Tribolium castaneum: one gene and its partner. The protein of the gene in region 2 binds, or shares a complex with, the protein of the main gene of each other region. Links are inferred from orthologs where the notes say so. Each region holds a gene or a part of one and is shown on either strand. Other genes may lie near its edges. The genes, in order: Non3 and ribosome biogenesis regulatory protein homolog.

Evidence for each region.
Region 1: ribosome biogenesis regulatory protein homolog (region 2) and Non3 share a complex: the UniProt entries of both Homo sapiens proteins name them as parts of the hexameric 5S RNP precursor complex. The link is inferred for Tribolium castaneum from reciprocal best matches to the Homo sapiens genes RRS1 and RPF2.

Annotation. Positions count from the first base shown.
Region 1 is NC_087400.1:407,609-412,087, reverse strand, and holds Non3 (ribosome production factor 2 homolog), read left to right. Parts: upstream 1-1,392; 5' UTR 1,393-1,524; coding exon 1,525-1,547; intron 1,548-1,602; coding exon 1,603-2,234; intron 2,235-3,980; coding exon 3,981-4,279; 3' UTR 4,280-4,413; downstream 4,414-4,479. Other genes in the region: organic cation transporter protein-like, read right to left, coding at 941-995. UniProt on the Homo sapiens protein: Involved in ribosomal large subunit assembly. May regulate the localization of the 5S RNP/5S ribonucleoprotein particle to the nucleolus.
Region 2 is NC_087399.1:2,010,025-2,014,413, reverse strand, and holds ribosome biogenesis regulatory protein homolog, read right to left. Parts: upstream 2,817-4,389; 5' UTR 2,591-2,816; coding exon 2,448-2,590; intron 2,402-2,447; coding exon 1,912-2,401; intron 899-1,911; coding exon 642-898; intron 588-641; coding exon 461-587; 3' UTR 446-460; downstream 1-445. Other genes in the region: uncharacterized protein LOC103314109, read left to right, coding at 48-211, 259-423; tubulin monoglutamylase TTLL4, read right to left, coding at 3,224-3,330, 3,826-3,877, 3,958-4,389. UniProt on the Homo sapiens protein: Involved in ribosomal large subunit assembly. May regulate the localization of the 5S RNP/5S ribonucleoprotein particle to the nucleolus.

The DNA of each region.
Region 1 (4,479 bases), on a different chromosome or scaffold from region 2:
ATCTTTAACCATTTAGGCCCCAAAGCCATTCAAAGACGCTCAAGCGATGGATTTCCTCCATTTTGCCGGTGGTCAAGTATTGGAAAATTAATTTATAGCCAAACCGTTGAAGATAGAAATATGGTGTCGCGGACTTTTTTGTAGAAAATTTAATTCTCTACAACCTCGCGCCTTTCATTTTTTTGTATCTTCAACCGTATTCGCTGCGTTTGCAAAAAGAACGCACTAATTCTAAGCGATAATTTTTTTGGGCACCGTCGCTTATTTATCAAAACGCTGCGAATACGGTTCAAGATACAAAAAAATTAAAGGTACGACGTTGTAGAGAATTAAATTTGCTACAAAAAAGTCCGCGACACCATATTTCTGTCTTCAACGGTTTGGGTATAAATTCACTTTCCCATACTTGACCACCGACAAAATGGCGGAAATCCGTCGCTTGAGCATCTTTGAACGTCTTCAAAACCTAAACCGTTAAAGATAAAGATATTGTCTTGCTGACTTTTTTAATGGAAATTTAATTCTCTACAACTTTCTTTTGAACATTTTTCTTGTATCTTTAACCGTATTCGCAGCGTTTTGAAAAATACGGGACGAAGCACAAATTTTAAATTCAAAATAATTTTTTTCTCATATTTCTCATGAAAATTTTAGTCGTCAGTTTTTCTAAGTCTGTTGAGAATGCAAAGCTTAACATTTCTGCATTTTTTTCCAAGTAATTAGTGCACTGCTTGAATTTAATTAATTTTTTTTTGGTTTTTTGAAACGTTAGGCAATCAACATTACGCATGTTCACATTTGATGAAACATTTCTGAGATTTCAATGACAATTGACGATTACTGAAAAGTACTATTTTACGGACGATTTCAGAAACAAAACTCTAAAGTTTTTGGTAAAAAATGTTACGTTAAACATATTTATGAGTGATTTTTTTATTACCTTCAATAAATTGATCAATTTCCTGTGTATTTTCTAACTCTTTGCTCTCGTCCATTGTAACACAAAAGATCCAAAATTGCCAAGTTTTATTAAACTCAATGTCACAGCACGTTTATCTATTTTAAATAGCCATTAGTAATGGATTTTAAAACAATTCTTTGTTAGGTACAGTTATTTATTTTTCAAAAATCCCTTAATTAGGTAATAAATCTGAGGCTAAAGATAAAACCAGTTGCAAAAAACTGTAATTATTTACGGAACGGCTTAAGTTTTTAACGATTAAACTTTGGCGCCTTTAACCCCAGACACACCAACCTAAACTTCGCGGTTGCAAATTTTAAAATAAATAGCGTTTTAGGCCCCACTTTAAAACCGAATTAAATCCGCTTTATTTTCCGGTTTGGTTTCTATCGTTTGGCGCAGTTTCATGTGAATATTTGGCCGTTTTGTTGCAAAATTCGTCAAAAACGTTGGTTTTGCCCCGTGAGGTTGGTACGGTTGGAGCAGGGTTAGTTTTCATTCCAACACGTGTGGACAAGTTTACACTGAAAAAACCGTGAAAATAAGCGCAAAAACTAGTGAAAATGGTTGTAATCCAGCGTGTGGTGTAAGTAGAAGCCCCCTTTGCCCCGATTTCCGCTCACGCGGGCCCCAATTTGCAGTAAGGCGACCACACGTAAAGGCAAAAAGGTGCTCCTGAAGAAAGAGCCGCAAGTGGTTGAGGGCCCCAAGAAGGCGCTCTTTTTCCAGGGCAGGCGCTCGTCGGAGAAACTGCGCCGTTTGGCGAAAGATCTGTACGATTTGAAGAAGCCGGAGGCGCAAATGCTCAACAAGAAAAATGATATAACGATTTTTGAAAATGCCACTCCTGTGGAGGCGTTCTGTAAGAAATATGAGTCGTCTCTGTTCGTTATGAGTTCACATAGTAAAAAAAGGCCGGACAATCTAGTCATTGGTAGGATGTTTAATTATAGTCTGCTGGATATGGTGGAGCTGCATGTGGAGGCTGCTGAGTTCATGAAAGACTTTGCCTGCTCGAAAATAGCGCTCGGGACGAAGCCCTGTCTCGTGTTCAACGGGCCGGCGTGGGAAGAGACTGAAGTGTTGAAACATCTCAAGAGTTTGTTCATTGATATGTTTCACAGGGAGGAGGTTAATTCAGTCAGGTTGCAAGGGTTGGAGCACACTATTAGCTTTACTGCTACGCCAGAAGGGAAGATTTTGATTAGGTCGTACAAAGTTATGATGAAGAAGTCGGGGTGTCGGGTGCCGCGGGTGGAACTTGAAGAAATGGGTGAGCTTCGTGAAAATAAGTCAAGTTGCTTGTTTTTCTAAACAATTACAAAACTACGAAGGACTATAAGTTAGGAGACGAAACGAGATAAAAAATCGCACCCAAAGATGTAGTACGGCAGTGGAAAAATGAGGGCGCCTCAAATCGTGTGTCAAATCGTTTTAAATTAATTTAAATTCAACCAGTTGACTAATTACTTGGAAAAAAATACAGAAATGTTGAGCTTTGCATTCTCAACACACTGAGAAAAACTGACGACTAAAATTTTCATGAGAAACATGAGAAAAAAATTATTTAAAATTAAAAATTTGCACTTCGACTCGTATTTTTCAAAACGCTGCGAATACGGTTAAAGATACAAGAAAAATGTTCAGAAGAAAGTTGTAGAGAATTAAATTTGCTTTAAAAAAGTCAGCGAGACCGTATCTTTATCTTCAACGGTTTAGGCCCTAAAGACACTCAAGCGACAGATTTCCTTAAATTTTTCGGTGGTTAAGTTTTGGGAAGTGGATTTATACCCAAACCGTTGAAGATAAAAATATGGTGTCGCGGACTTTTTTGTAGCAAATTTAATTCTCTACAACGTCGTTTTTTACAATTTTTTGTATCTTCAACCGTATTCGCAGCGTTTTGATAAATAGGCGACGGTGTCCAAAAAATTATCGCTTAGAATTATTGCGTTTTTTTTGCAAACGCAGCGAATACGGTTGAAGATGCAAAAAATTGAAAGACACGATGTTGTAGAGAATTAAATTTTCTACAAAAAAGTCCGCGACACGATATGTCTATCTCCAACGGTTTAGTTATAAATAAATTTTCCAATACTTGACCATCGGCAAAATGACGGAAATCCGACACTTGAGCGCCTTTGAATGACTTTGGGGCCTAAATGGTTGGAGATAGAGATATGGTCTTGGGGACTTTTTTAAAGGAAATTTAATTCTCTACAACTTTCCTCTGAACATTTTTCTTGTATCTGTAACCGTATTCGCAGCGTTTTGAAAAATATGGGGCAGAGTGCAAATCGGTAAAACTTTGAAATTTTTTAAAATATAGTTTAAGATATAATTTTTTCACTATTTTTATCTCATATTATTAAGAATTTGATTCTCTATCTGCCTGTATTTTTTATTTGCCTTGTGCTAACCGTTATTTAATTACAATTTTTATAAATTTATTGCTCTGAAAACAGACGGTAATAGAACAACTGCGCCTCTGGCGGCATTAATCGAACTATCGAGGACGGGGACGTTTTATTTGTACGTCGTTTTTTACGAGATTTTTTAGGATTGCTAGAAATATTTTATTTAAGCTTTGAACGTTTTCAGATAAAAAAATTCACAATCAGTCACATCTCAGTATCGGTCAATTTTTTTTGTATATCTTATTATTTTAAACACATATTAAAAAAATATATTGAATTTTCTAATTTTGTTGAGCCAAAAAACCTCAATTCTCGTCAAAGCTGTGGTTAAAGTTTTTATTTTGATTTAATAATACAGTTAAATTTAATACATACAGTTTTGCACCAAAAAAATGACAATTTTACAATTTTTTTATTTGTAATTGTACAATAAATAATCTCCCTAATAAACATTAAACATCGTATTTTTTTCTGGCAAAATCTCCAAGTGAACATATTGAAAGAAATATAAAGAAATAAACTTGACGATTTTTTTTCTTTATAAATTTTTTGAGTGTTTTCTTTTTTTTTGAATTTTAGAAATTATCAAATATTTTTTGCAGGTCCCAGAATAGACCTCAGCCTTCGCCGAAGCAAACTCCCCAGCGAAGACCTAATGAAAGAAGCCTTGCGCAAACCTAAAGAACTCAAAGTGAGCAAAAAGAAGAACATTAGTGTTGACGGCTTGGGCACAACCCACGGACGCATCCACGTCGGTAAACAAGAAATCAACAAAATCCAAACCCGCAAAATGAAGGGCTTGAAAAAAACCACCGACGAAAAGAAACTCAAACGAGCAGCAAAGAGAACAACTGACAATAACAATGTAAATAATAAAGTCAAAAAGCAAAAGCTTGGATAACGCGTCGGTGCAATCTTGTTGATGATTATTGTGTATAAATGGTTAAATTGTCTAGTTCTAAGGCTAGTTTTACGTGTATTTTTTATTTAATGACTATTTCAATAAACTTTTTTTATAAAAAAAAAAGGGAAAAATTGTGCGTTGTAGCGAAAATCCCCTAGAACACAGTCTAGTGATTTTGGGTTTCCATGTTGGTGTAA
Region 2 (4,389 bases):
GTTTGGTTATATACAAAAGTCACTCTAGATTATATACACACTTCCAGACAAAGAAATTTGTAAGAAATGGATTTTGAAGTTGCGTCAATTGAAAGCAACCGATACAACAGTGAAGAAAAACCGAAACAGTTTCTTCAAGTACTTCCTCCAAGTCCTCCACAAGGCAGTCCAAGGTGAAGATTATCTCGGCCCTTCTCCACTCGACACTAAAGTAACAAATCGTCTTAACTGAAACAAAAAACTGATTTGTAATTTAAGGCTGACGAGAGCCGAGGCCGCGATTTCATGTGCCGCTGGTCGAGCGATAAGCGGACTTACGTGGCGGCTAAGCCCCTCCCAGGCGAGGGCACTCTGGTCTACATGGCCGTGTCGAAAGACCCGAGTCTTGGATGGGAAAAACAGGGAGAAACAATCTATGTTTAAACTCACCTCTAAGTAAAAATATACAATTGGAACAAAACTAGCGCCGCTTCCGGCCCCCGGCGGCTTTGCCCTTTCGGGGCCGGTTCGTGTTTTTCGGCTTCTTGCCGCCTCCAGACTTTCGCAGGCCTTTCTTGCGCCCAGTTCGGTTTTTCTCATCAGATCTCCTGGGAAAAAAAATATATGAATTTTTTGGACCACCGACTGAGTAAAACACTCACTGCGCTTGTTCGTCGTTTATTTGTCGGGCTACCGCTTTTTCAATATTTATCTTCGGTCGTTTGTTCAAAACCTCGTCTACGAGATTTAGGTTTTGGTTTTTCTCGTTTTGACCCGAAATTGGAGGTAATTTTCGTTTTCTCGTCGCTCCGGGAGTGATAGCAGCGACGCCTCTCGCCTCCTTCTCCTTGGGGAGCTTGTCTTGGAATTTTCCCAGACTTGCGGTTGACGATTTAGCCACTGTTACCGCCGCTTGCAACTAAAAATCAAACATTTTGATTTCGAAAACAAAAAGTTAATACTTTTTATGTTAAAGGTTTTAACAAAATTCCAAATTTTTTATTCGTATTTAACAAATAAAAACTAAATTGTTACTATAGACAGCTCACAATCAAAGGCAGATAACATTACATCCGGAATTCCCACAAGGCTCAATTTTGGGACCATTTCTATTTTTAATATACAGCTCAGAAATATCAGAATTCGTAAATTATGTAATTATTCAGATCATATGCAGGCATCCATTTAAATATTATAAAAACTATTCATCAAAACTTAATGAAATTTGGTATATGTTCGAAATTATGTAAATTCTATCGTCTCAGATGTGTATCAAAGTTCTGTCGTCATTTGTTCTGGGGAAACAAGGCTAACTTGATTTTTTTAATGCCAATATTATATTATTCTATTATTTTTTTGTTGTTTCTTTTGTTTGTTTTTTTCCATAAAAGTTTAATTTTTGGTTTTATACAAGTGAAAAATCGCTCATAACAGTATTTTAAAAGCTAGCTTAGTTTTACTTTTCCGGAAATCCAGAATTAAATTTTTGAATTTTTATTTTTTTTACCTTTTTAAGGTTCAGAAAAAAATTTGACAAAAACTCCGCCAATCTTTTTTGATGCTTTCCAACTTTAACTATGGCCTTATTATTTGTCACTCATGTTTAGATCTATAGTTTTTTCCAAAATTGTTTTTGCTTTTTGTTATTTTCTTCTTGCTTTATTTGCTATTATTTTTTTAGAGCAATTTTTGTCAATTTAATTTATTCATTTATTCATTTACTTCTTCGTTTCTTAAGGGAATTAAGTTCAATTTCGCCTCCCGAGTTGTATTTACGGTTCGAATAAAGACGGCTTATTGTTATATCATTATTATTAAAAAAGAAGCAACTACTTTAAACGTTTAATAAAACAACACAAATTCACGTATTTTTCAACTTGGTGCAACACTTAAATTTCCGGCCGTACACACGATAAAAATACAAAAACTCACGTCTTTTGCGGACGAAACCTCAGGGTTGGTGAGCCCGAACCTGGGCACTTTCACATTTTTCGCTTTGGCGACGTTGCGCAGCCTTTGCAGTTCATTCTTGGCGACTTTTTCGCTCTTAGCCTCGACTTTCTTGGCGAACTGGTCTTCCAAAGGGTCCGCATTTTGTGGCACTTCAATCAGCCAGTCCTTCTCCTTGAGGGCGGCGCTCCGTTTGAAACCATACAGCGGGATCCACTTTTGCAGCTGCTCGTCCCAAGACAACTTACTCTTCTTTTTCTTGACTATGCCCTTGGCTTTGGCGAACTGCTCCCACTTGGTCAGCGGCCTGGGCCTCGGCACGGGCTTGAAGCGCGGTAAACAAAACTTCTGCTTGGGCAACTTCGCGACAATTGCTTCGTCTATCCGCTCCGTGGGCAACTCCCAGATTTGGTTAAACAGCAACTGGGTGTTATCCCGAGTCAAATTCAGTAAATAATCGTTGGTGGAGCTCCTAAAATTGGGTCAGAAAAGCGTGCTCAGCGGACCCCAAAACTCACCTCAACGCGCCGGGATCGAGCGGGTTCAGGTCTTCGGCCAGCAAGGCGCCTAAATCGATGCTCACCAACTTGTTAACTTCCACTGATTTGTATTTCTCGGCCTCTTTGGCCGATTTTTCCAAAATTGTTTTAACAACATCCATGTTGTTAAAACCTGTCTGGGGATTCTAACCTCACTTGCGACAAAACGGTTACACGTGGAGCGAAAATCCCCAGATTCGGCTGGCGAACTGACACCTGTCGCTGACAAATGTCAACCAATTTCAAAATATTTTGCCAAAATCTGGGCGTTTCTTTGTAAAAATGTGATCGTGGTGGTGCTGAGTCATGCCACTCGCCGAACCTTTGCTTTTTCTGCTCAAGCTGGGCTACACCCTGCGTCTCAAGGTGCCCCTCTTTATCCTGTTTCTGTGCTTTTTGCTGGATATAAGGATGCAACTCAACGTCACAGTCCAGAGGATTGAGATCCCGAGGAACGCGGTCCCGGACCCAGACGAAGACATTTAATGTAAAAGAAATATTTTATTCATCAGACTCAATACACTAATAAAAATCAATTAAAAAACACTTTGCTGTAAATGCAAATGTAAATGGAATATCTCGCTACAATAATTTAACAAGGAATTAAAACAACGTACAAATTTGGCAGTTTAAATGCTGGTGTTTGTCCTCATTCGTAACAAAAGAAACACACTTCTAGAATTCCATCTGAAACCGCCACTTGATTAGAACGGGAAAAACCGCAACAAACAACTCACTTATACAGTTAATTACAGCTAGAGCTTTCGATTGTGACCTCTTGCAGGATTTCTGCAAGAGGCCGACTCTGGCCTTCCCTCGACGGCTGCAGACTCGCACACCCATGGCTCGTACTCAGCGAATTCTGGGGAATTACAAGCTGTCAGATTGGCCCAACCAACTGTGGGACCCTAACTAAGTCGTGCAACTATTTGCCCAACTGGGCATTTATTTATAAAACGTAATAAATGTTTAATTGCTTTCAATAAATGCCCAGTTTCTTCTAAAATCCCAACTACACAGACATACAGACGGCCGACTCCTTAGAAAAAAATATCCACTTTCCCACACCTGTCCACCGTTCTCCAATTTTTTCAAAAGGGCACACGTTTCGACACAAGAATTAAAATTCGCGCCATCTGGACGGAAATTAACTCAACCGAGCTTTTTAAGTTGGCCATCTGTGACTAGAAACCCCTAACACGAAATTAGTACTCCTATGTCCTACCTATTAGTAATTTTAATCTATTACGTGTCTATCTGCTATGACTAAAATCCTGCGGGAATTAGAACTAGACGATAGAAAAAAATTCATATGCCATTAGTGTAGACACACAAACAACACCACGTCCCGACTTACTGCGACATTGTGAACAAACGCTTTGCAGTGTTGCCAGTACGAAATGTCTCGCCTTGGTAGGTAGTACCACCCAAACAAAAAAAATTGAAACAAAAACTCAACCCCCACACTTAACTAACGCAATGAAATTACCTTGTGTAGCGTACTCTGCGGCGCCACTTTTAAGTGCACTTTTTCGGCGCATAACGCCTTCAATAAGTTAATCCCTTCCTGCCTGTTCCTCTCAAATCGGCACTCCCACGCATCAAACAGCCGATTATAATACCGAACTTCCATGAAATTCAAATACTTGTGCGTCTGCGAGGTGGGGAAAATCCTCTCGAAACGCCCCTTAACACACCACTCGTCTTCGGCTTGCGTCAACTTTCGCACATCATCGCCAGTCAATTCGGCCAAAATATCGTCGAGGTAGTCGTGTCGTGACTCATACTGTTCGAAAAGTGTGTGCTTTTCCCGCTCTTTTTTCGTGAGCGAAGTTGTGTACAATTTGGGGTCGAAACATTGGGGGCTGTGACGGACGGTTTGAGACAACCTTGGCGGAAAATGGAACTGTGCGAGATCAAA